2 linked regions of the Tribolium castaneum genome follow. The main gene of each other region encodes a partner of the protein of the gene in region 2 in a complex. Links are inferred from orthologs where the notes say so. Each region holds a gene or a part of one and is shown on either strand. Other genes may lie near its edges. The genes, in order: QIL1 and Mitofilin.

What was found.
Region 1: Mitofilin (region 2) and QIL1 share a complex: the UniProt entries of both Drosophila melanogaster proteins name them as parts of the mitochondrial contact site and cristae organizing system (MICOS) complex. The link is inferred for Tribolium castaneum from reciprocal best matches to the Drosophila melanogaster genes Mitofilin and QIL1.

The regions. Positions count from the first base shown.
Region 1 is NC_087400.1:1,397,679-1,412,068, forward strand, and holds QIL1 (MICOS complex subunit MIC13 homolog QIL1), read left to right. Parts: upstream 1-7,988; 5' UTR 7,989-8,131; coding exon 8,132-8,139; intron 8,140-8,216; coding exon 8,217-8,373; intron 8,374-8,420; coding exon 8,421-8,627; 3' UTR 8,628-8,689; downstream 8,690-14,390. Other genes in the region: Moca-cyp (peptidyl-prolyl cis-trans isomerase G), read right to left, coding at 819-1,975, 4,682-5,009, 5,063-5,189, 5,238-5,377, 5,434-5,463, 5,687-5,774, 7,251-7,356, 7,410-7,595; protogenin A-like, read left to right, coding at 11,604-11,670. UniProt on the Drosophila melanogaster protein: Component of the MICOS complex, a large protein complex of the mitochondrial inner membrane that plays crucial roles in the maintenance of crista junctions, inner membrane architecture, and formation of contact sites to the outer membrane.
Region 2 is NC_087395.1:24,362,784-24,379,011, forward strand, and holds Mitofilin (MICOS complex subunit Mic60), read left to right. Parts: upstream 1-6,036; 5' UTR 6,037-6,133; coding exon 6,134-6,178; intron 6,179-6,264; coding exon 6,265-6,637; intron 6,638-6,684; coding exon 6,685-6,786; intron 6,787-9,129; coding exon 9,130-9,875; intron 9,876-10,171; coding exon 10,172-10,400; intron 10,401-10,449; coding exon 10,450-10,900; intron 10,901-10,952; coding exon 10,953-11,130; 3' UTR 11,131-11,277; downstream 11,278-16,228. Other genes in the region: fumarylacetoacetate hydrolase domain-containing protein 2A, read left to right, coding at 250-524, 1,867-2,083, 2,156-2,484, 2,532-2,682; fumarylacetoacetate hydrolase domain-containing protein 2A-like, read left to right, coding at 2,865-3,031, 4,411-4,627, 4,681-5,009, 5,061-5,211; mRpL35 (large ribosomal subunit protein bL35m), read right to left, coding at 5,240-5,736, 6,011-6,032; uncharacterized protein LOC103314327, read right to left, coding at 11,705-11,851, 11,900-12,007; uncharacterized protein LOC135265377, read left to right, coding at 14,725-14,811, 14,854-15,048. UniProt on the Drosophila melanogaster protein: Component of the MICOS complex, a large protein complex of the mitochondrial inner membrane that plays crucial roles in the maintenance of crista junctions, inner membrane architecture, and formation of contact sites to the outer membrane.

The sequences.
Region 1 (14,390 bases), on a different chromosome or scaffold from region 2:
TTTATATTTAAAATGGCAAGCTTACGTTGTCATTCTATTTTCCAATTTTAAACACGAAATGTCGGAAGAAGAAAAATCTTATTAATTGTATGATTGCGTATCAATAAAATTTTATTTTACAAAAAAATGTCAATCCAAACACCAAAATCAAATTCCATCTGCGGTAAAAAAATACACAACATTATCAACGTCACCTCCATTGCACTAAATCATAAAAAAGTGGCATCAAGTGGTCGTGACACATCGTTTGCAATTTTCTGCACATTTTTTATGTAATTAAAATCTGCGACGCTCGTATATTTGTTCAATTGAAAATAACTTTAACTTATTTTTATAATTTCACATTTTTTACTTTAATAACCGTTCACAAAATTTCTAGATTATTCACACCTTTCATGTGAAATAATTTTTCCATGGCCAACTACTTTAAAATATTTTAAATATATTTTTATCAAAAATATATAAAAACATCAAACTATATTTATATTGTTTTGAGTTCAGAAAAAAATAAGCTTTTCGAAAATGTCATAGCCAACTATGATTCTCATTTAAAAAAATACAACTTTGTTATTACAGCTAAACGAATGATTAAAAAAAATTGCTGATAACATTATTAAATTCTCTGTAAAAAAGTGCCTGTATAATGTCTGTGTTTCAAATGTGTATCATTTATAATAAGGAAGATATAAAAAATAAACTTTTGTTTATAAGTCGAAGATGCGGTTTTGACCAAAATTATTCTTTCAAAAAACGGACCCGAGAATGTGTCACTCGTTTTTCTCTAAACATTTTAGTTTTTGACTCGAAAAAAAGTTTACCTCGAAGAATCGCTTGAACTGTCGCTATAACTGCTCGAACTGGAACTATAACTCCTCTCTCGTTTCGCTTTACTCGAACTATTCTTATCCAACTCTTGCAACACTTTATAAGTCTTCAACAACTTCTCCTTCTCAATCGCCTCACGTTTCGCCTTCTTTGCCTTCTCCAACATATCAGCCTCCTCTTTCGCCTTCCGATGCTTCTCCTCCAGCAATTTTTGCTCCACCTCTTTCTTCTTCTTCATTTCCAGCAATTCCATCTGTTTCCGCAAAATCAACAACTTCTTATACTTCTCTTCAGCATCGTCAATCTTCTGATTGTTGCTTTCGTGTTTTTTTGCTTTTTTCTCATCCTCGGACGATTTCGAGCGATTTCTCGTCGCCTTTTCTTTATCTGGAGACGGTGTTTTGCGACTCCTGGAGTGTCTATTATGCGAGCGCCTGGACCTGGACCTTGGCGACCTCCGGTATTTCCGGTCACGTGACGGGTAGGGAACATAGCGCCCGCGATCCCGTCGGACGAAACCTCTCCGAACGGGCCTCCGGTCTTCAAACGGACGTCTTTCAACCCGCCGTCGGTTCGCTTCACGATAATTACCGTTTTTATATTCATTATCGGGCTTTTCCGTCTCGAATTTATTACGTCCAGTCCGTAAAACCTCCTCTTTCTTGTTCGCAGCTTCGGGAAGTGCTCGTTTCTTGTCGTCGTTTTGCTTCGTTTCGTTTTTCGCCGCCTCCTCTTCGCCGGTCTTCACCTGGACGCCCAACGCCATCGCCATGACGTCGCTCTTTGTGTTGTTAATCATCGCGTCTTTGTTGTTTTTCTGGTCGGTTTCGTTATTTGGGTTGAAAGTGCCAGGGAGTGGGTACTGGACGAGGCTTGGGACTTGTTTTTTTACCGTTTCTTCCTCCTCGGATTGGTTGTCTTCGTAGTCGAGGGCGTTGTAATCGACTTCTTTGTTTTTGTCGTCGTTGGTTGTGGGGTCTGGTTCATTGTCGTCGGGTTGGGTTTCTTCAATTTTGCGGCGTTCTTCACGTTTTCGGCGCTCTTGTTCGAGTTTTTCGAATTCGGAGAGTTTTATCACGCGGGACTCTTCCTTACGCCAATGCAGGGGCGTGCCGCTGCGGGAGCGGCTTCGGGACGGGGTTCTGTATCTCTGAAAAGTGGAAAAAAATTGTAAGTAACGTAAGGTAAAAGTAACTATTAATTTTATTTTTTCGGAAAATTAAAAAACTTTTTTCGACTGTGAAAAAAAAGAGCGACAATCATGCCTTAATGAACTTTTTTCTTAAAATACTTTAAGAACTTAATAATTTAATAAATAATTCGTTTATTACTAGAAATACAAATCAATAGGCAATAAGACAAAAATCTTCAAAATTGCAAGAAAATCAACAATTTAAGGTGATTTACCAAACTATTTTTTTTTATAACATAAGGTATTCGGACAAAATAACAATTATTTAAAGTTTTAGAAAGATACATTTTTTTGCTTCATGTTTTTCCGTGTAGCGATTTTATTGATTTTTGTAAAAAACAAGGTTAATTAGAAAGTCTAGGGCCTTAATGAAGCCAACTGTTATTTTTTCAAATGGTGGACCGATAATCACGTAACAATTTTTTTTTGGTACAAGTAACTTTATTAATTTTATTTTTTCGAAAAATTAAAAAACTTTTTTCGACTGTAAAAAAAAGAGCGACAATCATGCCTTGATGAACTTTTTTCTTAAGATATTTTAAGAACTTAATAATTTAATAAATAATTCGTTTATTACTAGAAATACAAATCAATAGGCAATAAGACAAAAATCTTCAAAATTGCAAGAAAATCAACAATTTAAGGTGATTTACCAAACTATTTTTTTTATAACATAAGGTATTCGGACAAAATAACGATTATTTAAAGAGGGTAATAATTTAAAGTTTCAGAAAGATACATTTTTTTTGCTTCATGTTTTTCCGTGTAGCGATTTGATTGATTTTTGTAAAAAACAAAGTTTATTAGAAAGTCTAGGGCCTTAATGAAGCCAACTGTTATTTTTTCAAATGGTGGACCGATAATCACGGAACACTTTTTTTTGGTACAAGTAACTTTAATTTTATTTTTTCGAAAAATTACAAAATTTTTTCGACTGTAAAAAAAAGAGCGACAATCATGCCTTAATGAACTTTTTTCTTAAAATACTTTAAGAACTTAATAATTTAATAAATAATTCGTTTATTACTAGAAATACAAATCAATAGGCAATAAGACAAAAATCTTCAAAATTGCAAGAAAATCAACAATTTAAGGTGATTTACCAAACTATTTTTTTTATAACATAAGGTATTCGGACAAAATAACGATTATTTAAAGAGGGTAATAATTTAAAGTTTCAGAAAGATACATTTTTTTTGCTTCATGTTTTTCCGTGTAGCGATTTGATTGATTTTTGTAAAAAACAAAGTTTATTAGAAAGTCTAGGGCCTTAATGAAGCCAACTGTTATTTTTTCAAATGGTGGACCGATAATCACGGAACACTTTTTTTTGGTACAAGTAACTTTAATTTTATTTTTTCGAAAAATTACAAAATTTTTTCGACTGTAAAAAAAAGAGCGACAATCATGCCTTAATGAACTTTTTTCTTAAAATACTTTAAGAACTTAATAATTTAATAAATAATTCGTTTATTACTAGAAATACAAATCAATAGGCAATAAGACAAAAATCTTCAAAATTGCAAGAAAATCAACAATTTAAGGTGATTTACCAAACTATTTTTTTTATAACATAAGGTATTCGGACAAAATAACGATTATTTAAAGAGGGTAATAATTTAAAGTTTCAGAAAGATACATTTTTTTTGCTTCATGTTTTTCCGTGTAGCGATTTGATTGATTTTTGTAAAAAACAAAGTTTATTAGAAAGTCTAGGGCCTTAATGAAGCCAACTGTTATTTTTTCAAATGGTGGACCGATAATCACGGAACACTTTTTTTTGGTACAAGTAACTTTAATTTTATTTTTTCGAAAAATTACAAAATTTTTTCGACTGTAAAAAAAAGAGCGACAATCATGCCTTAATGAACTTTTTTCTTAAAATACTTTAAGAACTTAATAATTTAATAAATAATTCGTTTATTACTAGAAATACAAATCAATAGGCAATAAGACAAAAATCTTCAAAATTGCAAGAAAATCAACAATTTAAGGTGATTTACCAAACTATTTTTTTTATAACATAAGGTATTCGGACAAAATAACGATTATTTAAAGAGGGTAATAATTTAAAGTTTCAGAAAGATACATTTTTTTTGCTTCATGTTTTTCCGTGTAGCGATTTGATTGATTTTTGTAAAAAACAAAGTTTATTAGAAAGTCTAGGGCCTTAATGAAGCCAACTGTTATTTTTTCAAATGGTGGACCGATAATCACGGAACACTTTTTTTTGGTACAAGTAACTTTAATTTTATTTTTTCGAAAAATTACAAAATTTTTTCGACTGTAAAAAAAAGAGCGACAATCATGCCTTAATGAACTTTTTTCTTAAAATACTTTAAGAACTTAATAATTTAATAAATAATTCGTTTATTACTAGAAATACAAATCAATAGGCAATAAGACAAAAATCTTCAAAATTGCAAGAAAATCAACAATTTAAGGTGATTTACCAAACTATTTTTTTTATAACATAAGGTATACGGACAAAATAACGATTATTTAAAGAGAGTAATAATTTAAAGTTTCAGAAAGGAAATTTTTTTTGCTTCATGTTTTTCCGTGTGGCGATTTTATTGATTTTTGTAAAAAACAAGGTTTATTTTCTAGGGTCCTAGGGTCTAGGGCCTTAATGAAGGCAACTGTTTTTGACCAAACACTTACGAATTTTCCCCTTCCTTTGATAATTCGGCCACTTTTGGTCGTAATGGGGCGATCTCTTCGGTTAAAACTGTGATTATCCCACTCTCGACGATTCCGATCTCTTCTAAAATCATCTGTAAGAAAATTATTATTATTTTTAATAATAATAATAATTCGAGAAAAACCTTTTCTTTTTTTGTTAAACTTTCGGTCCTTATCTTTTTCTTGCGGACCTCTCATTAGAAATTTATTGAATGGAACGTCCGGGATATCATCAGGGTTAATATCAGTGACTGTGGCCAAAGGGTGAAGATCTTTCAGTTCGCCTTCCTCTTCCGAATCGGTTTTTCTAAATTACGAAAAAAAATAATAATACATAAATAATAAAATTTTGAAGCTCACCCTTTGTGTTTCTTTTCTTTCTTCTCCTTCTTTTTGTCTTTTTTGTGTTTCTTTTTTTTCTTTTCATCGCCGGATGATTCCTCCTCGTTTTCGTTTTCTTCCTTCTTCTTCTTCTTGTCCTTTTTCGCTGAAATTTTTTTGTTGATTTGTTGTTAATTTTTGCCAGTTTTCTTACCTTTGACCTGTCTTACAAGTTCGCCACACTTGACAATTTTCGCGTCTTGAAGTGGCCGACTGTTGGCATCAACTGGTAGTGATTCAATCTGACGTACAACATCAACTCCTCCGACAACACGTCCAAAGACAACATGTACACTAGAAATTTTTTATTTGAGTAGAATTTGATTTTATCAATTAAAAGTGAAACTCACTTGTCGAGATGAGGGGCCGGTTGTGTAGTACTATAACACAAAACATGACAAGATATGATCAGCGAAGGCCAGGATAGATGGGAACAGACGTACTGCTACAGAACAACAAAAGTAACTGTTCTGTAACACATCTCTTAAAGCGACTGAGAAAATCATTCAAATGTCAATATTTTCTCTACAATTATTTGAAAAACACTTTGAAAAAAATCAGTTGTCCAATTGGACAAAAATATGTCTTTTGCTTAAAACTCACATAAAGAATTGAGAACCGTTTGTGTCCTTTCCTCGATTTGCCATTGATAGGAGAAGAGGTTGGTCGTGTTTCAGTTCAAAATTTTCATCTGAAAATAAATTATCGCTATTTACAAAAAAATTAATTATTTGAACGAGTGACACATTCTCGGATCCGTTTTTTGAGAGAATAATTTTGGTCAAAACCGCATCTTGCTATCGTCTTTTGTTTTCGACTTATAAACAAAAGTTGACATTTCAGTGAAATATTAAAAAAATCATATCTTCCTTATTATAAAAGATACACATTTAAAACAAAGACATTATACAGGCACTTTTTTACAGAGAATTTAGTAATGTTATCAGCGATTTTTTTTAATCATTCGTTTAGCTGTAATAACATAAAGTTGTATTTTGTTAAATGAGAATCATAATTGGCTATGACATTTTCGAAAAGCTTGTTTTTTTATGAACTCAAAACAATATAAATATAGTTTGATATTTTTATATATTTTTGATAAAAAATATATTTAAAATATTTGAAAGTAGTTGGCCATGGAAAAATTATTTCACATAAAAGGTGTGAATAATCTAGAAATTTTGTGAACGGTTATTAAAGTAAAAAATGTGAAATTATAAAAATAAGTTAGTTATTTTCAATTGAACAAATATACGAGCGTCGCAGATTTTAATTACATAAAAAATGTGCAGACAATTGCAAACGATGTGTCACTACCACTTGATGCCACTTTTTTATGATTTAGTGCAATGGAGGTGACGTTGATAATGTTGTGTATTTTTTTACCGCAGATGGAATTTGATTTTGGTGTTTGGATTGACATTTTTTTGTAAAATAAAATTTTATTGATACGCAATCATACAATTAATAAGATTTTTCTTCTTCCGACATTTCATGTTTAAAACTGGAAAATAGAATGACAACGTAAGCTTGCCATTTTAAATATAAAAACAAATAATTTTTATTAATTGCAAAAATTTGATCTAATAAAAATTTATTATGCTGTTTTTGAATTAATTAGGGTTTAAAAAATCATTAAATTATAAATACTTGTTGGGTAATACAATTTTCATAGTTTTAATTAAGAATTCAAAATTTTTTCATGGCCTACTACAAAGAAAAAGCGAAATGTTTTGTTTATTCTTAAATATTTAAAATTAATGTATTACACAAATAAATATATCAAATCAGAAAAAATAAGCTTTTCGAACTTTATGTTATTACAGTTAAACGAATGGTTGAAAAAAATCGCTGATAACATTGTTAGATTCTCTGAAAGAAAGTCCCTGTGTAATTTAAAAGAATGTGTTTATGAAAAAACCTAGTGCAAAAAGAAAAATGTCGCAACGTCACGATATCATCAAAAAACGTGTGCAAACAAGATAAGAATTAAATTACCGGATGCTTTTTATCAACAAATGGTTTTCAGTTTCAGTTTTTACTTGAGTAATTTGAATGGAATTTCAGATCAAGTGTGTAAGTTAAACCGTCAAAATGTGAATCAGCATGGCCAACCCAAACAGTTATTTTTTACCCCTTAGTATATTTTTTTTAAATCCGCACCCACCTTCAAAAGTTCCTCCATAGACACTCTCACCCCCAGTCCCATTCCCATTGGAAAAATCCCCTCCCTGGATGATAAAATCCTTGACGACTCGATGGAAAACCACCCCCTGAACGCAAACCAATCAATCAAGAGACCACCGCCGTTTCAATCAATACAGACCTTGAAATGCAACGCTTTCTTCGTATTCACCCCAATGCCCTTTTCCCCCGTACACAAACACCTGAAATTTTCGCATGTTTTCGGCACAATATCAGTAAATAACTCAAAAACAATGCGTCCGGACTGCAAACCGCCGATCGAAACATCGAAAAAGCAGCGGACGCGTTCTTTGGGCTGCTCCTCCATCTAAAAAATAAATTGCAATAGTAATGACATTCAAAAAGTGTTATCAGCGTCGCTGATTAATTAGTTAGGGAAGCACCTTACTTTTAATCAAAAATCACTGATTGATTGAGTCACCGAACGGACGATAATCAATTTGAAGCGAATTTTCACCGATTTTTCGTTTTTTTTAGTGGAATTTGCGGCAAAAAAACATTTTTCGCGAACACAACGCTACAACCAGCCACAGCGTAATATCTAGGGAGTTTTAGGCGGATGCGGGCACGCGCCTAATTTAAACAACTAACTTACAATTATTAAAATGCGTGCAAAAACGTAATCAAAATTTTAAAAAATCGAGCAAATTTATTTAGCACTTTTTGCGTAAATGTACAATCAAGCGTTTGGTATTAAAAATGCCTAAATAATTATCTTTAATGTTATTGAAATTAGTTTGGGGTTTTTGCTTCAAGTTGGTTGGTGTTGACCGGTCATCTTTCAAGCACATAACCTGAAAATAACCCGATAACTAAATTAAAAAAAATCAATTATTACGAAACATGTTCAGGTAATAACACTCATATAATACAGTTTAATGTTTTATTTCAATTTTTAATTTTTTGCACACTTGTTACATAATGACAGGTTCGCCATCAAGGTTGGGTTAGCTGCAAGCGCAGTTTATTATTTAAATAACGAAGGGATTTGGAAAGAGAGCAAGGAATCACTGAAAGCGTACGATAAACTAAACACCACACTTGAGCCCTATGTGCAAGAGGCGCGAAAACAGGTCCCCTTTGAGGTACAGAGCCCCCCACAAAATTATTTTTTAGGGACTTGTTCTTGCAGTTGCCTCAGTTTCCCAGTGGGGGCAGCAAGGTTTATAATGTCCAGGTTTGCTGGAACAAAGGGGTGACGGCAACGTTTCAATTTTTGAGTGAATTACCGCATAAAGTGAACAAGTGGGCGGATGAAGGAATTTCGGCTATTTTGCAAAATCCGGACATGCAAAAAGTGTTTGAAGCTTCCGGGGATACAAAGGATGGGAAAAAGTAGAAGTGGTTGTTAATATGTTGTAAATAAAATGTGTGGCTGTATCAATAAAAATTGATTCATGATTTTTTTGTTATTATTAACTAAACCCATTAAATTTGTTATTGGATTTTTTTTACAAAAAATAGTCATTGATAATTCAAAAGGGTCCCCTTTTTTAGAATTATTTGCACTATCGTAATAGTCCGAATAAAAAGAAATACTTCACTTTTTCCCTTTTTTTTTGATAACTAGGAATTTATTCTAAAGCATTTTAACTATCGCATTCAGTGCATATTTTTACGTACAAGACGCTTAGACGCCTGACTTAAACATTTTTTGCTAAATTATACCCAAAAATTAGGTTTTTTTTTTAAGTATGCAATTTGGTATGAAGGTGTGTTTGCTTGATTGCATATATAACTGGATTTTTTTAACAACTTATTTTTCGTTATATTTTTTTTAAGCTGAAAAATTTTATATTTACAGTAGACCGAAAAAGATAAAAATAATACAAAATACATCATTTTTAATGGTTTGGTTTGGCATATTTTACCAAAATTATCGAAAAAAATAAATAAATAAAACTTCTTGCAAAAACTGTGTGTGAGTGAAAAACGTATTAAAACGTACAAAAAAGGGTAAAATAAACTTTATTTTTTAACTGAAATAATAATTGGTTATTATTATAAGTAATAAGAAAAGTTGTTTATTTTTTGTCAGAAATAATGTTTAAATCCGCAAACGCTAGCTGTTGTCTTTTGCTATTGGTATCATTATTATTTAACACTGAAATTTTGTAATTACGATAATAATGAGTTTAAAACTGCCATTCCAACATTGATTTTAAAAAAAATGTAAAAGAAATAAAAACTAGAATCTTATATATGTATTTTTGCCAAAAGTTCTTTTGTTCATAAAAATGGCAATCAAACTGAACACACAAAAAAATTTGACCTTGTTTTTGCAGAAACAATATTTACTTAAAAAGGGCAAAAATAACCCAATTATACTTAAAAATTCCCAGCAAAAATTGTTCTTAAAACTGAAAAAACGCTTAAAAAAGCCCGAAAATGTGTAAATAAACGCGCCATTTTACAACTTTTCGGCCAGAATACAGAATAAATTGACTTTTTAATCCTAACTTTTAGTTAAACCGACCGTAAGCATGATTTTTCCTATCTTAAAAAAATTATTATTAGATTTTTTTGTTGTTTTTTTACAAAAAATGCTAAATGTTAATTGAGTAGTGTTGCCAACAGATTTTTTTGACACAATACTTTATCTCCATGTTTGCAATCAGTCCATGACCTTTCAGAATTAAGAATATAGTAAACAATAATTTTAATTCCGTCCGATAAGATATCGCTAATTTCGTATCAACTCGTTATCAGAAATTGCTCCTCTCATTCATAAAACTCCATTTTTACTATAGTACTAAACCATGATAGTATAGTATAGAAAACAAATGACCATCAAGTAACCAAATGCCACTAGATCTGGTTCCGCGGTGCCATGATGATCGAAACGTTTATTTCTCCATTATTCAGTGTTTTTTTTAATGGAAGAATTGCAAAGTAGTGCGCATGACGATAACGTATATGCTAAATGGTTGGTTATTCGTTCGTACGGCCTCTGCCTACATGGGGGTGAAAGTGGGATACGCGCATTGGCAACACGAGAGTATAGGCCAGGGGGGTTTTGCACTCCCGGGGAGATGAAAAGGGACGACCAATGACGACTGCTTATTTTAAAACAAGCGCGTATTTATTAGGGATTTCATTAAATTATATTTTTTGACGTAACAATGACATCTACGCTTGCGCGCAGATCGCTAAAAAGATCGCGCCGAAAATATCGCGCCAAAAGTGTTGTTTTGTCACTCATCGTTCAACGTGTTACCGGAAGTATGTAGCAATTATTTGTTTCATCGTTTAATCAAAGCAAAAATTCTGATTACAGTTCGTTAGTGAGTCAATTCCTGGTGTTGAGCGCCGACCAAAAAGATAAGTATCTCTTGTTTTGTTAATATAACCTCATCTTTTTGATTGGTGTTTCTTTCTATTTTAAAGGCATTGGTCTCTGGGCTGGAGTGACGGATTTTTGATTTCTACTACTCAAGCGAACTTTAGTCATGGCTGGTTATCGCAAATATTCCTGCAAATACCCCGGATGCACCAGTGGTTATGTTCCCAACAAAGGACATGCCAACAAGCATTTCTTCACCTTCCCTAAGAATCTAAAGCTTCACGAATTGTGGAGGAATGCCTGCAAAATTGAGGATCCTGTAAGTTCAAAATTTTGGCGTTTTCTCGATTTAGGGTATTTCAGAATTTACTTTTAAGTTTCTTATTTGCGCTCGAGTGTGTCAGTGCACTGCATGTACCTCCTCGTGGTCGTAGCGTGGGCAACTGTTTGCTGACAGACAAGGTAAAAGTCATTGCAAAGAAGGCCTTATTTTGTTTTAAGTCTGGAGCAGACAGGCAAAACATGCCAACACTAACTGATTTAATTTTTTGATAATTTTTGTATAATTAAGAAATAATACAATACTTTAATTTTTTGAAAAATTTAATTTGTTATGTTACTCAAGTGTACAATAAAAATGTTAACAAAATCTGTGTTTTATTACCCCAAAACAACTTTTTTTGTAAGTTTCATTGCAAATTTTGTTTAAAATAAATATAAAATGTTTTCATTTCGTTTAAAATGAAAATATTTTTTTTTATTTTAAACAATTTGCAATAAAACTTGTAAGATAAAAATAATAAAAAACAGAATATAAAAGGAATTTATTCAAACGTGGCGCTTTACCGTGGTAGTAACGCACTTCAGCACCAGAGGCGCTGTATTCTCGTGTTGCCAGTGATTTACTAGGGAATTATCACTTCTTAACCTTTACTGTTCTGTGTCTGCCTATACTATCGAAAACATCGTGCGTTAGTTAAGTGTTGTGTGGTGTCTTGCGTGTTATCAAAGTTCCCAAATGAGTACTTATTTATGGCGTTGCGAATTCTTCAATTCGGCATTGTGTTTGCAATAGGATACTATCTCGGCCCTGCATCGCGTAAGTAGCCCCCGAAAATCGCGTATCCTTCGCCGAAAACATTGAAAACATTCGAGTGTGTACCCAACCAATATGGCGGGTTGTTTAGATTGTCTCTAAGATTTCCAAATGATAGGAAAAAATTGGACGCTTCCTTGACGTTGCCACGCATCTAGTCGCTTTGACAACCAACAAACATCGACCGATGCTCAACTGTCATACCTGTCAGTTTTGTTATTGTATTGTTCGAGCACAGCTACCTGCGATGCTGCTGCAAACGCACATTTTTTAACGCGCTGGGATCGATTTCCTGTCGGATATTTTTCTTAATAAATTATTAATCACGAGTTGATGTGGCCATGACTTTCCTTTGTTAATAGAAAAATTTTGACGAAATTCTCAAGTGCGTAGAAACTGCGATGTTTCGTAACTATCATGTCGTAACATTATCAGGTGGGACACCACGTTTGGGACTTCCGGGGAATTACTACAAGAATTATTATTGATCTGCTCTTGTTTTAATTGTTTGACACTGAATTTTTGAAATTGTCAACAAAACCTGTCAAAGTGTTGATGTTAAACGACTTTTTTCCGAATTTTTTTCATACGCACAGAGGTCTAGTATAAAAAATAATATAGAAAAATCAGTAAGTAAAACAAATTAATATATTTCCGATTGACACTGGCAATTTATTTGGGTATTTTTGCATACAAGGTGAATTAAAACTATGGAATCAAGTGCTCCTTGCTAAAACTATTAATTTTTGTAAAAATAAGATTTTTTGATTTCTTTTTTGTTTTGAAAGTTGGAGAAGAATATTTAAAAAACTAAATCTGATGTTGTTAATTTAACAAAAAATTATAGTGTATTTGGGTACCTACTGTCAAAGTGACAATAGTTACAGGGTTATTCTTTTATAACCTACTTTAGAAACTTAACTTCTAACATAGCTAGAGCCTTAAAATTTTGTATACGATCCATATCGACTATTCTGAGATCATCTAAGTTATTGTCAAAATGGCTGAGCTTTCGGAACTACGAGAAATTAGCTCTAACTTTAAAATGTTTATCGTTAATCAAGTAAGCATTGAAAAATGGTTAAAGGTGAAATAAAACTATGAAGTCAAGTGCTCTTTATTAAAATTAATAATTTTTGTAAAAAGAATAAGATTTTTTAATTTCTTTTTTGTTTCGAAAGTTAGAGAAGAATATTTAAATACCATGTGAAATTACATCAGAAAAAAAAAATCTGATATGTTAATTTAACAAAAAAATATAGTATATTTGGGTACCATTAGAAACTTTTTAACTTCTAACATAGCTAGAGCCTTAAAATTTTGTACACGATTCAAATCGACTATTCGGAGTTCATCTAAGTTATTTTCAAAATGGCTGAGCTTTCGGAACTACGAGAAATTAGCTCTAACTTTGAAATTTTCATCGTTAATCAAGTAAGCCTTGCAAAAACAATTTTCAAACTTCAACGTTTTATTTAGTTTTTAGCTGGTTCATTGTCAAATAGGCAGTAAAACAATAATATTTAATTATGATTCATTATTATAATTTATGTAAAAAAATTTTGATCATCAATTTCAAAAAAATCATAGTAGCTTTTGCATTTTGGCAAATGACAATTCTGATGATTTTATGACTTTTTGTACTCTTGGTTATTACGTGCAAAAAGAATTATTCACTTTACTTCACTGTGGTATTGCATAAAAATATTGACATGTCAAAAATTGTGACAGATGAGATAGTGAGTTTTAAAAGACTAATTCAAAGATGCAATAAAAATATGTGGTTACTATTTAAAATATTTCAAATTTGGCACCAATTTCATATCGTTCCGGAAGTTCAGCCATTTTGAAAATAATTTAGTTGAACTCAAAATGGCCGATTTAGATCGTATATAAAATTTTAAGGCTGTAGCTATGTTAGAAGTTAAAAATGTAGGTTATAAAAGGATAACCCTGTATTATTTTTTAAGTTACAAGTTTACTGTCACTTTGACAGTAGATACCTAAATACACTATTATTTTTTTTTGATGTAGCTTCACATTATCTCTAACTTTTAAAACAAAAAAGAAATAAAAAAACTTATTCTTTTCACAAAAAGTAATAGTTTTAGCAAAGCACACTCGATTCCATAGTTTTTTAATTCACTTTAAAGCTCTAGCTGTATTAGAAGTCCAAAAGTTTCTAATGTAGGACCTATAAAAGAATCAGCCTGTAGATGTATCTTTTTTTGACACTAGTAATTCATTTAAGTGTTTTTTGTTCAGTAAGTGAAAATGAATTGTTATCTTTGAATTGATTGAATTTTTTTTATTTATCACTCAAATTACGAGAGAACGGAAGTCCCATTAACAACAAGATCGTGATATTTCTAAAGTTTCAATCCGGCTGTAGCGTCTTGCTTTGATGATTAATCCTTCTTGTGTGGCATATTGTTATCTGAGGTTTCCCTCGAGAACATCACCGCACATCATAAAAGCAACACATCGTTGTAAAATTTAAAGATTGTTATTTTTTGCAGTTGCGTTGATTTTACGTCATAGACAGACATATACTTTTCAGGTGGGAGGCATTATTATCAAACACCCTCGAGAAACAGCCGAAAATAAATTCCGAACTTAATGTCTTTGTGGGTGTTTGGTGTAAAAACAAATCTCGGAAATTTTTCTCACTTATTACAATACAGGGCAGAGTCAAGCCAACAATCAACTTTCTTCCGGGTTTC
Region 2 (16,228 bases):
TCACTTTCTATTATTTTTTCTGTCAATTTTACAAAAATTCTGTAATAAATGGAATTGCGTTCAAGGCCGCACGCAATGCATTCTGTCTCTAAACGGCACTGAATGATAAATAATAAATTACTTTCCCCGAGTCGAAAATACCTCAACCGGTTCTCTGAGGTCCCTCAGCGTCAGTTTACCTCGACGTTGATACCCATTTGGGTGTCTTTCCCTTATCGTCCGACCTAACGTTTCTTATCAGTCGCAAAAATGTGCTCAACAACGACGATCTTGCATCTCTTCAACAATTCGAGATTACTTATTTCTAATAAATCTCAGCACGCGATAAGAAAGTTGAGTGTCTCAACTCGAAACGAGATGAGATTTGTGCAATACCGGCTCAAAACGGGCGGTTTACCCCACCTGGGGGGGCAGATTACCCAGGATGGGGACATTTTCGACATCAGCAACGTGGACCACTCCATACCCAACACCCTGACCAAGTTCCTAGCCACCGGCGATGACGTCTACGAGAGGGCCAAAAGGTGACGACTTTGCATAACAATTGCTTGTTTACCGCACTTGGGAGATAATTATTAATTATTTATACCTCCTGTTTGAACCAATCAGGGCCGTAAACGTGTAAATTAAAAAAGCATATTTGTCCTATCGCTGTTTCATAATCCGGTACTTCCAGTATATCGTTTACATACGGATTATGAGAACCTTACATGCAACGCATGTAAATTAATACAGTATTTACAATTATAAATTCTTGGTTTTTAATCCAGTTCTTTATATTAATAAATCTAATTTGGTCTAATCGTGTTGATAAGTTGTGACAATAAATCTCCCGTAAATTATCCGCGACATGTAGAATTATATTTTTCAAGGCCAACGAGGTAAACAAATTTTTGATAGCGTCTCAGCCATAACAATGACTGTCCATGCTGTCATAAATATTAATTTTTTGGTCATTTAGACCAGAAACGTTTGCATGATTTATTTTAATAAATTTTGCCATACTTTAATGTCACTACAAACCTTGGAAAAAAGATTAATAAAGTCAAAAAACATGTCCAAATTATTTACTCATATTTTTTGAACCACTGTGTATTTTTGATTTTTAATAAAAGTAGTCTGTAACGAACTGAATCTTTTACAAATGGGTAATTTTGTTTAAATTTTTAATAAGTATCTTAAAATTGTTGCAATTATTATTGGTCACGCAACGATATTTTGCAAGGCCAATTGAATAACGTTTTTATTTTGATAGGATGAGCATCCTAATCAACAAAAATTGATAAACAAATTCCATTTATGTTGCCCTTCTGTTTTATTATTTTGTGTTTCTTGTACGCCAATTAATTTAAAGTAAAATCGGCGACACAATAGGTAATGAAAATAATTAAATAAACAATTTAATTTTGTTAAACAATTTTTTACAGAAAAGTTGAGCAATTTTGCAACAGTAAAACAATGTTTTAGAAATGTATTATGCAATTTTACTATTTATCAATTAGTAGTTTGTGAAAAATTTAATTGAGTTGTTTTGAATAAATAGGTGAAAAATAATAATCTGTTTGGTTTACTAGATAATAAAAAATGCCATAAGGGACCGTAAATAAGTCAGTTAATAATTACTAAATTGTTAAAAGCTTAATTATTTCTATACTAAGCTGTCGAAGGTTTTTTATAGATTTGAGTTGTTATGCAACCAATTCTACACTCGTGCATTTTTTTCTCCTACTTTACCGTGACGACTCTTAACAAAAACTTTTTTTTTAAATAAACTATATTTGTAAACTGCGCTATAAATGAATAAAACTTAGTTGATATCTAATTTTCACTCGTAATTTAATTTCACATAAAACATCCCTTAAACAGGATAATCGCTTCCGGCAAATCCGTCATCCCTCTCAAAAACGTGGACCTCCTCCCCCCAATAATCAAACCGGACAAAGTGGCTTGCGTGGGCCTCAACTACTCCGGTCATTGTGACGAACAAAACATCCCCCACCCCCGTGAACCCATGTTTTTTAGTAAATTCTCCTCAACCATCGTGGGGCCCTACGACACCATCCAACTGCCCAAAATAAGCAACGTGAGTATAGCCCCCCAAAATTGTCAAATTTTAAATTAATAATAATAATAATAATAATAATAATAATTCAAGAGTGTCGACTGGGAATGTGAACTCGCTGTGATCATAGGCCGCAAAGCCAAGGCCATAAGGCAAGACCAAGCCCATGATTACATCTTCGGATACACAGTGGCCCAAGATATTAGTGCCCGAGACTGGCAGAAAAAACGAAATAATGGACAGTTTCTGCTAGGCAAAAGTATGGACACGTTCTGCCCTTTGGGCCCTGCGGTAGTTACGAAAAATAAACTAGACCCCAACAACTTAAATATCAAAACTTGGGTCAACGGCAAGTTGAAACAGAACGGAAATACGAAAGAGATGATCTTCAAAGTCGATTTTCTCGTCTCGTATTTGTCACAGTAAGTCCATTTTTCCCACATATTACTTAATTAATGTGCTATTACAGGATTGTAACACTGTACCCCGGCGATGTGATCCTCACGGGGACCCCTTCCGGGGTCGGCATGCACCGCAGCCCCCCTGAGTTCCTCCACAAAGACGATATCCTCGAGAGCGAAATTGAAGGAATCGGCAAAATGAGAAACATTGTTCAATAAATTTTTTATCACAACTTGTTTGTTTATTTCTTTAACCATCATCCCACAAAATGTCTTATCACTTATAAGTCGCAAAAGTGTGTTCAACAACAATCTTGCATCTCTTTAACTCGAGATTATTTATTCGTAATAATAAAGTACAACACGCGATAAGAAAGTTGGGTGTTTCAACTCGGAACGAGATGAGATTTGTGCAATACCGGCTCAAAATGGGCGGTTTACCCCATCTGGGGGGGCAGATTACCCAAGACGGGGACATTTTCGACATTAGCAACGTGGACCACTCCATACCCAACACCCTGACCAAGTTCCTAGCCACCGGCGATGACGTCTACGAGCGGGCCAAAAGGTGACAACTTGCACAATAATTGTTTGTTTACCGCACTTGGGAGATAATCAGGTTAGAGGGCCCGATCGATAGTGCGTAAATGGGGCGGTTTTATTAATTTTTACCTTTGATTTGAACCAATCGTAACGTCCAAATTAAAAAAAACAATACACAAATATATTCATATCACATTTATCGCAGTTTCAATCCGGTACTTGTAGGATTTATGAAATTGCATTTTTTTATTCCAATTTGTCGTATTAATAAATCTAATATTTTGGCGTATTTATTTAATCCTGTCGATAAGTTGTGACAATAAATGTGCCATAAATTATTCAGACATTTTTTCAAGGCCAACGGGGTAAACAAATTTTTGATAATGTTATTTAGTGTTTGTGTTGTAAATATAATTTTTTAGCACAGAAACATTAAAAATGTTATTTTTGCATAATTTTTTGACGTAAACGAAACCATAAACCCAGAAAAAAAGTTAAAATATGGCGAAAAATAACTACAAATTGGCTTCTTTCTAGGACATATTTTTTGAGCACTCTGTCTAATTATTGCAAATTTCATAAGCATCTCATGGTTGTTTTTTAATAAATATTTTATTAAAAGTAATTCTGTTTGTTTTTTCTAACAATATCTAGTTGAAATTGCTCCAAATGGATCGTAATTTCTATTGGTCACGCAACTACGTTGTGCAAGGCCAACTGAGTAACGTTTTTTATAGGACGTAACATCCTAAAATCATATCGATTAAAGATTTTTTTTCTTTATATTTTTTTGTTTCTTGTACTCCAATTAATTTAAAATAAAATTAATGACGCAATAGGTAATGAATATAAAATGAACAATTTTTCAACAATGAAACATTATTTGGTATTTTTTTAAATTTGGAAAACCGTTTGCTTGGCAGTTTTTCCACAGCTGTTGACACAATGTAAGTGTCTTCTTTTTTTTTAATATTATACAAATAATAAGTACAAATAATATCTCAATTTGTGCAATCATTTTTACCGGTATTATAAGAAATCTATCGTTATTGTTAAAATCGCCTCTTATCTACTGCTTATTTCATGAAAAAATGACATTTTATCGTCTAGAGGAATAAAGTTCACACCATTTTTTTTTGTTAAATTGTTTAACCTTTATTTATAACTGGCACTAAAGTTGTTAATTTGTTACTTACGCAAAATAAAAAAAGTATTATGATTGTATTTGTCATGGAAAGTATGAATATTATTTGTAAAAAAATAGGTAGCATTGGTTTTTGAGTATTAAATAGCTCAGATCCCATCTTGTCTTATTTGAAAAAATGCCAGAAGAACTATAAATAAATAAATCACTCTTTGATATGCAAATATCTGATGATTTCAACACCTAATTGTAATAAGCAGAATAATCGCTTCCGGCAAATCCGTCATCCCCCTCAAAAACGTGGAACTCCTCCCTCCAGTAATCAAACCGGACAAGGTGGCTTGTGTAGGCCTTAACTACTCGCGCCACTGCGATGAATTAAACATCCCCTACCCCCATGAACCAATAATTTTCAGTAAATTCTCCTCAACCATCGTGGGGCCTTATGATAAAATCGAGCTCCCCAAAATAAGCAATGTTAGTATGATAGCCCCCTAAATTACCAAATCCCCCTATTAAAAAAAATTAAGAGCGTCGACTGGGAAGCGGAACTCGCTGTGGTCATAGGACGCAAAGCCAAAGCCATAAGGCAAGACCAAGCCCTTGACCACATTTTCGGCTACACTGTGGCCCAAGACATCACCGCCCGAGACTGGGTAACAGCCAGAAACAACGGACAGTACCTCCTAGGCAAGAGTATGGACACTTTCTGCCCTTTGGGCCCGGCAGTAGTGACGAAAAATAAACTAGACCCCAACAACTTGACCATCAAAAGCTGGGTCAACGGAAAGTTGAAACAGAACGGAAACACGAACGAAATGATCTTCAAAGTCGATTTCCTCGTCTCGTATTTATCACAGTAATTTTGTTTCCTAATATAAAGCGTTCATCCCTAAATGTGCTATTACAGGGTTGTTACTCTGTACCCCGGCGATGTGATCCTCACAGGGACCCCTTCCGGGGTCGGTGTGAACCGCAGCCCCCCCGAATTCCTCCGCAAAAACGACATACTCGAAACCGAAATTGAAGGAATCGGCAAAATGAGAAACACAGTTCAATAAAAATTTTATTTACAACTAGTTTATTTATTTAACAATTGGGCACTGTCCCACTTGGGGGCACAAAAACCTTGGGCTTTCGCGCACTGAGGGGGTACTCCTCGCGCGTGTGGTAGGGCTCATAGGGGTCATCGACGTAATACCGTCGTTTGGTCCAAAAGGGCCCTGCCATTTTATCCAAAAGGTAGCTCTGACTGGCGTTGCACATGACGTGCTGCCTCAAACGGCGCTTGTTAGCCCCACTTTTCTTCCACAGCCTTTTGTGGCGCCCACACATTGTGCGGATCCAGGCGCCCCAATGCAGCCGGTAAAACCTCCGTCTCACTGCCTTAACCGACTTGCAGCGCCCCCGATTAAGCCCCAATTTAATCAGGTTGCGGGAGCTGACTTGGAAGAGCTGGGGGCTGGATAAGAGACTAGGTTTGGGGGCTGCGATCGTTGTGGGGATGACCGATGTGATGGTGCGCACAAGTGGCACGTTCGCGACCACATTTTGGACCAGGGGGGCCCTTGTAACGAACCGCGAGACTGGAATTAAAAATTTCAACATTTTTCTAGTTAGGGTTTTAGTTTCGTTAGGTTTGTGACGTTACGTAACAAATGAGTGGGACAAGGATGGAAATATGGGAATTTGGGGGATTTAGCGTCTTGACAACTTAAAAAATACCGCATAACTTAACCTTAGAATTCGCAACCAAAAACAAAAAAATCGAGTTAAAGTAATAATTAGGGGTCAGGTTGGGCGTTTTTGTGGGTTTTGTGACATCCTGGTTGAATCTGGGGCGATTTTGGGGCCACTTACACGAATTGAGGACTCTCAACATTGATAATTCGAGTGATGTCTGCACTGTCAAGCTAACTGCAAGGAGTATTTTTGTGTTGTCTGATTTTGCTAAAACCGCTCCCAAAGTGGCTGCCCCAGAAGATGTTAAGAATTGTAGGAAGGTTCCCGTCGAAAAATCTCCAAACGGTAAGCCCCTCTCGTCATAAAGCTAAATCGAGTGGTTATGTCATCTCGTGACTTGGGCGCTTTACGTAATTGCCGGCTTCTTGCAGAAATCCCGTCGAATTTTGGAATTCAAATTGTATAAGAGTGTGCGATGTTACTCGAAGGACGTGTGTCCGCCCCCGCCCCCCAAACGAAAAGACAAGTCCAGTTCCGGTGCGCTGTACACCTTGGGGGCACTCGCTTTGGTCGGTGGTGCCACAATCGGTTACGCTAAATACGACCCAGACTTCCGCAAGACTTTGGGCGAGTACGTCCCCTGGACCGACGACGTGATCAAGTTTGTGTTCCAAGAGGAGCACAGTCTACTTGACTCGGCTTCGGGGGTCTACGAGGACGTGAAGAAGTCGGTCTCGGGGCTGCTGACGCAAGAACAGCGCAAGAAGAAAGAGGACGTGAAATTAGAACAGAAGCAATACAAAGGTAAGCGACTAACGCGCGCTTTGAGTGACTAACCCAGCCTCCGACAGCCCCCCAGCCAGTGATACCGGCACTTGAAGACACCAAGGTCCCCCAGGAGGGGTACACGGAGATCCGCATCGAGCAGAAGGACAAGCGCGATGTCGAAATTGGTACTAATATCTCTGCTTTGATTTTTATAAGTAGCTCATTTCTTTCCTATTATTTAAAATTATTATTATTAAAACTAAAAGACATATACAAAGTTCCAGTGTTGTAAAAGATAGGTGTAATACGTGTAATGAACCGTAAAATTCTCTGGAACAAACAGTTTTGCCCTAAGACTTATAACGAATTTTTCGGGTGAAGAATGGACAAATTTTTAATTTTTTTTTTATTTTTTCTATTATGGCTGAACTATTTGAAAAGGTGGACTTATTTTAATCCCTACCTATGCAAAATGATCCGGGGAATCGATTGGCATCGAGAAAATTGCCAAATTCTCAATAGTTTTTTAGTTATGAATTTTTTAAAATTTTACCAATTTTTGCATTTAGCAGCAATTTGCTCGAAAACTATTAGTCGGAGTACAATAATCTTTTTTGAAAATAATAGATAATACAAAGAGCTTTCCAATGATAATACACTTCATGGGGTTATCTCTAATAGTTCCGGAGCTATTGCTCGAGAAATACTCCGGGTACCCAAAACCGACAAAAACTGCGACGAAAATTGAAAAAATCATACATCAAAAAATCGAACATTTGGACAACTTTAGTGGGTTGTTAAGACATGTAGAGGTCCATAAAAATTTGCTGAAGTTAGTTTAAAAAAAAAAAAATTTCACCTCTTTGAAGGTAAGTTGTATTACTCAGGAAATTTGAGCAAAAAAATTGAAAATTTTAAATCTCGTGAAAAGTTGGTATAATACAGAAAATGAACCGCTGAATTCAATGGAACAAACCGGATTGCTCTACGACTTTTAGTTTTTGAGTTATGAATTTTTTTAATGAATAAAATATTTCACTATGACAAATGGCTACCCTAAATTTAGGCAAAAAATTTTAAATTTTTAATTCTTGTGAAAAATTGATATAATATGTAAAATGAGCCGTAGAATTCAACGGAACAAACCGCAATGCTCTACGACTTTTAGTTTTTTTTTTGTGAATTTTTTTAGTGCAAAACTTTGATCGCCTCTGTAGCCGGAACCGTTACCCGGAGCGGCTCCGGGTTTAATCGAAAAAATAGAGAAAATTAAGCGCTATCAGATGGATTTTTGTTTGTCGCTCTAAGTCTTTTAGTTTCCGAGAAAAACGCAAAAAAAGGTTTCCATTTTCACTTTTTTTCAATTTTCAATCGCCAATTACGGCGAAACTATTAAAGATATCGAGAAACGGAAAAATGGAGAATAACCGGAATAAAAAACTCTACAAAATGACATAGGACTCAAGGCGATATCTCGCAAAAAATTTTTCAATTTTCAAACGCCGATTACGGCCAAACCCAAAGAGCTAGAAGAAAACAGTTTGTTCCATCGTAAAGAGCACATCAAAATCTATAAGATAAAATAGGTTTCATTTGATTTTGAGACACTTTAAAAATTGACCGATTTTAAGGGGGGGGTGTTAACTTTTTTTAAATTTTTTTTATTTTCTCATTTACGGCTAAACTATTCTAAAAAATGGAACTGTTTTGATCCATACTCATGCAAAATGATCCGGGGAATCGATTGGCATCGAGAAAATTGCCAAATTCCTAATAGTTTTTTAGTTATGAATTTTTTAAAATTTTACCAATTTTTGCATTTAGCAGCAATTTGCTCGAAAACTATTAGTCGGAGAACAATAATCTTTTTTGAAAAAAATAGATAATTTAAAGAGCTTTCCAACGATAATACACTTTATGGGGATTATCTCTAATAGTTCCGGAGCTATTGCTCGACAAATGTTCCGGGTACCCAAAACCGACAAAAATTGCGACGAAAATTGAAAAAATCAAACATCAAAAAATCGAACATTTGGACCTTTAGTGGACTTTTAACAACTTTAGTGGGTTGTTAAGACATGTAGAGGTCCATAAAAATTTGCTGGAGTTAGTTTAAAAAAAAAAATTTTTTTTCACCTCTTTGAAGGTAAGTTGTATTACTCAGGAAATTTGAGCAAAAAAAATTGAAAATTTTAAATCTCGTGAAAAGTTGGTATAATACAGAAAATTAACCGCTGAATTCAATGGAACAAACCGCATTGCTCTACGACTTTTAGTTTTTGAGTTATGAATTTTTTTAATGAATAAAATTTTTCACTATAGAAAATGCCTATCTTAATTTTTAGCAAAAAACTTTAAAATATTAGATCTCGTTAAAAGTTGGTGTAATACACAAAATGGGCCGCTGAATTCACTGGAACAAACCGTTTTGCTGTACGACGTAAAAGTCGTAAAAAAAACTAAAGTTTTGAGTTATGATTTTCGGGTTCGAAAAGTATCGAAAAGGTCCATAAAACTTTGCTTGGTAGGTGGCGAGGCCAAGGTGCCCCCTGGCGAGGTCTCCGTGCCCGAGTCGCACCCCAGCAACTTGGCCGAACTCGAGGCAAAAATCTGCGACGCTGCCACCGAAGCAGTCAATTTTTACAACAAAGCTGTCTACGACCTCCGCGTTTATAACGGAGAAATAAGCCAGATTTTGGACCAGTCCGTGGACCAGGTCAAGCCTCCTCAATGGGAGGCCCTCAAAGCCAAAACCAAGGCCAAGAACGAGTCGGTGCGATTGGCCGAAGAGAAGGCAGCTCAAGCGGCCCAAAACGTCTCAAAATTAAAGACTCTCCTAACCAAAACCTCCGCAGCCACGAAAGAAATGGTCAACATTAACATCGATAAAGTCCAAGAGGACATTGACGCGGCCAAAGCGCAGTACGAAATCGAGAGAAAATTGGGCTCAATCACCGATAAATACTGGGAAAAGGTCCAAAAGGCTAGACATCATTTTTGCGAAGAGTTGGAATCGCTTTTCCCCGCGATCGATATTTACAATAAAAAGTTGGAAGTGAACGAGGCCGACTTGGATTTGTTTATTTTACACGCGTATTCCGTTGTCTTGTATTACCAAAAAGAATTGGCAAAACTGGAAACTGTGGCGCACGAGAAATTGCAGTCGGCGTTGGATGCGGCACGAAGAGGCGGCTTTGAACCACTTGGCAAGGCCCAAATTTGCGAAGCCATCGAAGAGGAGAAGCGGAAATTGACTCTGTGCTTCCAGAAACAGGTTGGTGTAACTGCACTTTAAGTCCAAAAAAAATATATATATATATATATATATATATATATATATATATATATATATATATTGCCAGATATTATCTTTTTCATTAGTTTTTAAATTTACGTAAATACCGACTACTGATTAGTAAGTGATTGAAAATAAATCAAAATAACCAAAATTATTGGTTACTTTGTTGCCCTGGCCACGATTTGATCGACATGGCGCAGCTATGTTGCAACAAGGCCGAAAAATTCGGTTTTTTTTTTGAAAAAATAGGGCATTTGTTTGTTTTTTTTCAGTGTCTCAAGTTGCGAAAAGAGGCCGAGCACGAATTGCGCGAACAACTCAAACGCCAATCGCAAGTTTTCGCCGACCACTTGGATGAAGCCGTGACCACTCGTGCGCTCGAAATCGAAAGAGTATTGTCCCGAAAATTCGACGAAGAAATGGAGAAGGAGCGTTTCAAGCATAAATCGCAGTTGGCGGCGATGGTGGGCCGGATGAAGGGACTCGACCATGCGTTTAAAGGTTTGTATGCAAGACAAAAAAAGACGCAAGATTTGAATTTGGTATTTAGCGCGCGATGCGGCCGATAAAGCCGCCAAACAATCGCAAGTGTTGTGGGCGGCGTGTCAGGCGTTGCTAAGGGCGATTAAGACGGGCTGTCCGGGGATTCCCTGGAAGGATCAGTTGCGGCCGTTAAGTCCCGAGATCACGCTTGTGCAGAAGGCGGCAGCCAAAGGGGATGAGTTGGTGGAGGCGGTCATTAACGGCATTCCAAAGGAGGCGAAGGAGCGCGGGGTGTTCCCGGAGGATGCGCTCCGGGAGCGCTTCCTGAAGGTGGAGGATGTGGCCAGGAGGGTGGCGCTAGTGCCCGAAGAGGGCGGGGCTTTGCCGTTGCATATCTTGTCGTATATCCAGGCATTTTTCCTGATTAAAAATCCTAGTCCTATACCACAGGCGGAGCTCAACGATGAAGCCGTTGATTTTAGTCAATTGAGCACGAATGAGATTTTACAAAGGGCTAGGTAAGGGTGCGAAAATGTGAGAGGTTGTTGTATTTATTACTTTTTTGCACAGATATTGGTTAGATCGTGGCGATTTCGCCCAAACGCTTAAATATATGAACCTATTACAAGGCGCTCCCAGGTCTATAGCCAGGCAATGGATGAACGAAACGAGGATTTTGTTAGAGACACAACAAGCTGCCAACACTTTAATGGCACATGCGGCGTCTAGTGGGCTTTTGCATCTCTAATGTTGTATAAATCATTAAATTAAATAGTAACAATTACAGTTTTACTTATTTATTATTGTGCTTTCGATTTATTTTTTCATTGTTATCCTCTGTATATTTTTAAACCGGTACTTCATCAAGAGTGTACAATAAAGACAGTCCTTGTTAGTCGGTGTTTTATTACAACCCCATTCCTCTTCCCACTTCGTGATAGCCAGTGTGAAAGAAATGGAAACAGTCAATTGAAAAAAAAACAAGATCAAACAAAAATCTCAAAGCCAGAGGTTATTTTGGATACAAATTCAGCAGAGTACATTTTTTTGTCCTTCGAGCCGGATAAGAATGTAACCACAATCTATAGTTATTACAAAAATAGAGAAAAATCTTAAAGATTCATTTTTTGGTTCTTCGAGCCGGATACGAATTTGAAATAATAAATCTGATTCTACAAACCTGAAAAACTTCTGAACAGAAGGGAGTTTTTAAAAATAAACAAAGTTTGAAGTGTTAAAAATAAATGGATAGGGAAGCGAATAAAACAAATCATTTCGATTCATTCAGTAGTTTATTCACATCCAAATCGTATCCTCTTGAACTACCCGGACCTCAAAATATCGCTCAACTCCTTCATGTTGCCAAAGGCCGTCATAATCTCCTGGTTATTCCTCTTCTCCTCCTGGAACTTGTCCTCGGCTGCCATCTCCCTCAGCGCCGGCAGAATCTCCTTCAACAGCTGATACTTCTGCAACCCTTGCATAAGCCACCCCCTCACATCAATCAACTTATTTACCTCATTATTCGCAAGACTGCGCTCGTCTGGTCTTGAAGGGAAAGCAATAACCGCGTGGAAAAACAACACAGTCAAAAGCACGGCGGCATTGCCCCAATTAGCGCGCATTTTCGCAATCTGGAAAGCAGGAAAACCAATCAGACACTGAGACAAACGCACAATTTCCCCTTTTTATAGCCGCCACGAGCAAGGCTGTCGCCTGTTTGCAAACCATTAGAAATAACAAGAATCGGGAACAAGTGTTTATTTCGACAACACAATTACAATTTTGTCACTAGACGAAACGGAGAATTGCACATCTCGAAAAGGGCCTCGGTCAGAAACGCGCTTCTTTTACTTTTACACAGAGTGTTCAAGGACGTCAAGGGTTTGGCACGCTTCAGGAAAAACTGGCAATTTTCCTGGAAATTTCGGTCAAAAAAGTGGCGAAAGGCGCTGTAACTTACCCCGTTTGTGAGACAGGGGGCCGTAAAAGCGCACGCAAGCCCCCATAATAAAAGAAAAATCACAAAACGCATGACTCACCTTGATCAGCAAGCGAGGGTCTGGCTGCAAGGGCCAAAAATTCCCTTTTTGTACCTGGCGTTATCTCGTTTTCCCCGTTTTCCGGTAAATTAATTGATAAAAGGGATCAAGGGTTATTTTTAGCTTTTTCTTCGCTAATCTGGGATTTCCTCATGCGTTTGTGATTTTACACGTTTTGGCAGATGGGTCAACTCTTGCGGAACCTTCCGTTACACATTTTTTCCATAAATTTTTATGTATCAACTATTTTCATTCATTTATAGGAAACATAAGGACGAATCAAGGGAGATTATTAAAATGCTATTATTGGTTACAGTTATTTTACCAACGTATTTTTCAGCATGACTGACGATTTTATCGTGAATTTAATTATCGGAAATTCTTGTATTCCATTAGCGCGCCTACGTGGCGATTGTACTAAAAAGGGGCTCTTGAATTTTATTAAAATATGACAAATCTTGACACACAGTGAGCCATAAATGTTCACTAGCATTTTTGGGACCTAGGGTTATTTTAGAAAACTGTTTTTGGCGTTTTTTGATACTAAAATGAACCAAAAATTATTAAATTAGGGATTTTTCTTATTGTTTCTCACTTTTTAGGTGTTTTTAGTATGTTGTTACGCGAGAAATTAGAAAAGAAAATATTTTGCAAAATCAAAAATACTCCAAAAAATCACCAAACTGTTTTTTTGGGTACGCAAGCGAGTCAAAAATTTCAGTAATACTTTTTTTTTTACAATTTTGGCATTTTGTTTAACCAGAAATGCGATTAAATTTACGAATTTCGTTCAAAATTACCCGAAAAATGAAAATATATTTACATATTTGTTTTACCTGTAGTTTTTCAGAGACGCATTATTTCGCAAAAATTTTAAAAACTCAGCAAAAAATAACTAAATTGGATCGAAAATCAAGTACAGTCTCGCTCAAAATGAATGACACCCCTAAAACCGTAGCTACACATCTTTTCGTTACTAGCTAGACAGGTTATAAACTAACCTGTTTGTTGAAATTTAAGATTTTTGAAAAAAAAATTTGTCGCACTTTTGCTATCCGGCCTACTTGGTAGGGGTGTCATTCTTTTTGATCGTGACTGTACCTTACCTGATTTTGCCTTTTTTGTCTTTTTAGCACATTTTTAGCAAAAACACAGTTGTTTGGCCAAATTTCTCAAAAAATTATTAACCAAAAACTTTAAAAATTTCTCGAAAATGGTGTATCAAAAATAAGATAATAATAAAGATATTATTTTGGCATAGTTTCCGTCCAGAAACACAATCATTTCGTAGAATTTCTATAATAATAAACTGAAAAATGCCAGTTAAAACACTTAAACAGCATTTGACGTAAAAGCAAATTTTTTCGTCAGATTTTCCTAAACCGTAAAACTAGTAATATAAAATGATTAAAAAAAACCCTCATATGGTGATAAAAAAGGTTCAGTTAAACAAAAAATAACTTTTTTGAAGCAACTTTTTTTTAATATATTTTTTAATTTGTTTTTCTTAGCAACGGTATCGATTGTTGCTCCTTTGTTTCCTAGGATCCAATTTAATTTATTGTCGAATTTACAAGTTTTTTAAAAGTTTTGCACATCATCAGACACTAATTGTTGATTTTTTTCAACAGGTATTTGTTTAGTGTTACAAAAGCTGTCGTTTTTGCTAACTAAAGTCAAAAAACGCTCAAAATTCAACTTTTAATTCAGTTTGATTTTTCGATTTGAAAAAAGTAATAGAAGTAAACTTAAAGTTTACTATCAAATTGCTCTTCTTATACAATGTGTTTTTAAATGATCCTCATCTAGTTAACTTTGGAATTGGTTTACATGTAAAAAGTTGTGCCGCTCTGCTCAAATGAATTCTCTGTCAATAAATGTCAAAACTGTACAAATTGTCAATTAATTAATTTTAAAAATTTCGTTAAAATTTAACTAAATTGTTACACTGTGCAAGAATTGGAGACAAAATCAATAAAAAATGGTAATAACTAATATTCGGTGTCTAAATGCCTGTCATTAATTATATAAAGCGGCATTTCTGATTTTACACAGACGACTAGATCAGTAGATCATTTAAAAACACATTGTATTATAACTAAACCAAAAAATATTTTTTAAAATTATTCCTTGTTTGTAAGTGCCGATGGTTCGACAGACCGCGCAAACACCCCTAAAATAAATAATCATTTTTGCGTTATTGCCGGTGACACGCGCCCACGCCCCAAGAACGTCCAAACCACTTGTCGTTCCCTATTTAAGAAAATCGCCCCGATCCAGCCTTGTATTCAGCCCTCGCAATGAGATGCGAAACGTTCGTTGCGATCCTGGTCGCCCTAGGGGTGGTCCAGAGCTACCCCTACGACTACAAGTACCTGGATCGAGACGTGAGCTATCCCTAACCCGTTCCCAACCCTAACTTTTGACAGTATGCCAGTCCAGGCGCCCACCAACTCGCCAGCTGGATCGCCTCCCAGCTGCGCTCCAAGGACTACATCCAGCCCCAGGAGGGCCCCATCCTGCCCTACAGACTGCCGGTGCAAGGGAAGAGGAACTCGGAGGTTAGCAACGCGATCATCGGCTCCGAAGAGACGCAGAAGATGTACCGAGACGGCCGGAAATAAATCGTCAATAATGCGACTGTGACATGTATTACGTCTATTACCTACTCGTATTTGTGGAATGCTCGAAAGGATATTAAATCAATTGATTCAACAACATTGCGTTTTATTCATTTATTTCAAACAACAACGATATAAAAATTGGTTATCACAAATAAATCACCTAAAAGACGGTTATTTCCTCGCGTTTTGTGTCGACGAGATCATCGTCCAAACTTAACAAAAACATGAAAGTTAGGTAAAGGGCGGGGGCGCTTAATAAGTGCCAAACGTCGTGTTTGTCGTAGAAACTCATCACGATGCACTCTTGGTTCCACTGGCGCGATTCGGCAGGAGTTACCTGAAAATTATTAGTATTTTTTTAATTATTTAATAGTTAATGGAAAAATTACAGTCCAAAGTGTTGCATTGTCTAAAAAGTAGACAGTGGCTGTGGCCCAAGCTGCGATTGCCAAAAGTCCGTAAATTATGGCCTCAAAACAGATCCTTTCGCCATTGACTAGCTGGAAATTAGCACTAGAGTTAAAAATCACAAAATATGTGATTGTGGACGAATTATTATGCAGCATACAAGATAACTTTAAAAGTATATTTTATTTTAAATGAAACACCCTATATTTTGGAAGTAGCTTATTTTAATACCTATGTTCTTAAATAAGATTGTTCGATTTTGTTTAATTTTTAAATAACTTGATTTTTTTGACGAAAACATTAAAAAAAATAATACAACAAAGCCAAGACTAATAATAAAATTAATATTAAGTCAGCCTAAAAAAATAAAGAATGGACTTTAGCAGTGCTCTAATATTTTTTTGGAGATATGCAGTCGAATTCAAAAAATAAAGACGTTTCAAGAAGTTAAGTATGTTAAAAAATTATTGTTAATTTAATTTAATATTTAATTAACTTATTTTTAATATTTGCTTCTAAAAGTCTTTATTTTCTAAAAACATTAAAAAATTATGTTTATTACTAAATATTATGCACCGATTTCCGTCGTCAAAATAAAAAAAAATTGCTTTATTCTGTCTTTATTTTTCTAAAAAAAAGTTTATTACTAATTATTATGCACCAGTTTATACAAAATCACTTAATTTTTGACAATTCCTTGCTTAAAAATTTGAAACCTCAATATGTAAAAGCTGAAATCGCCTTATTTTGTTCGAAACCGGCGACTTATGCT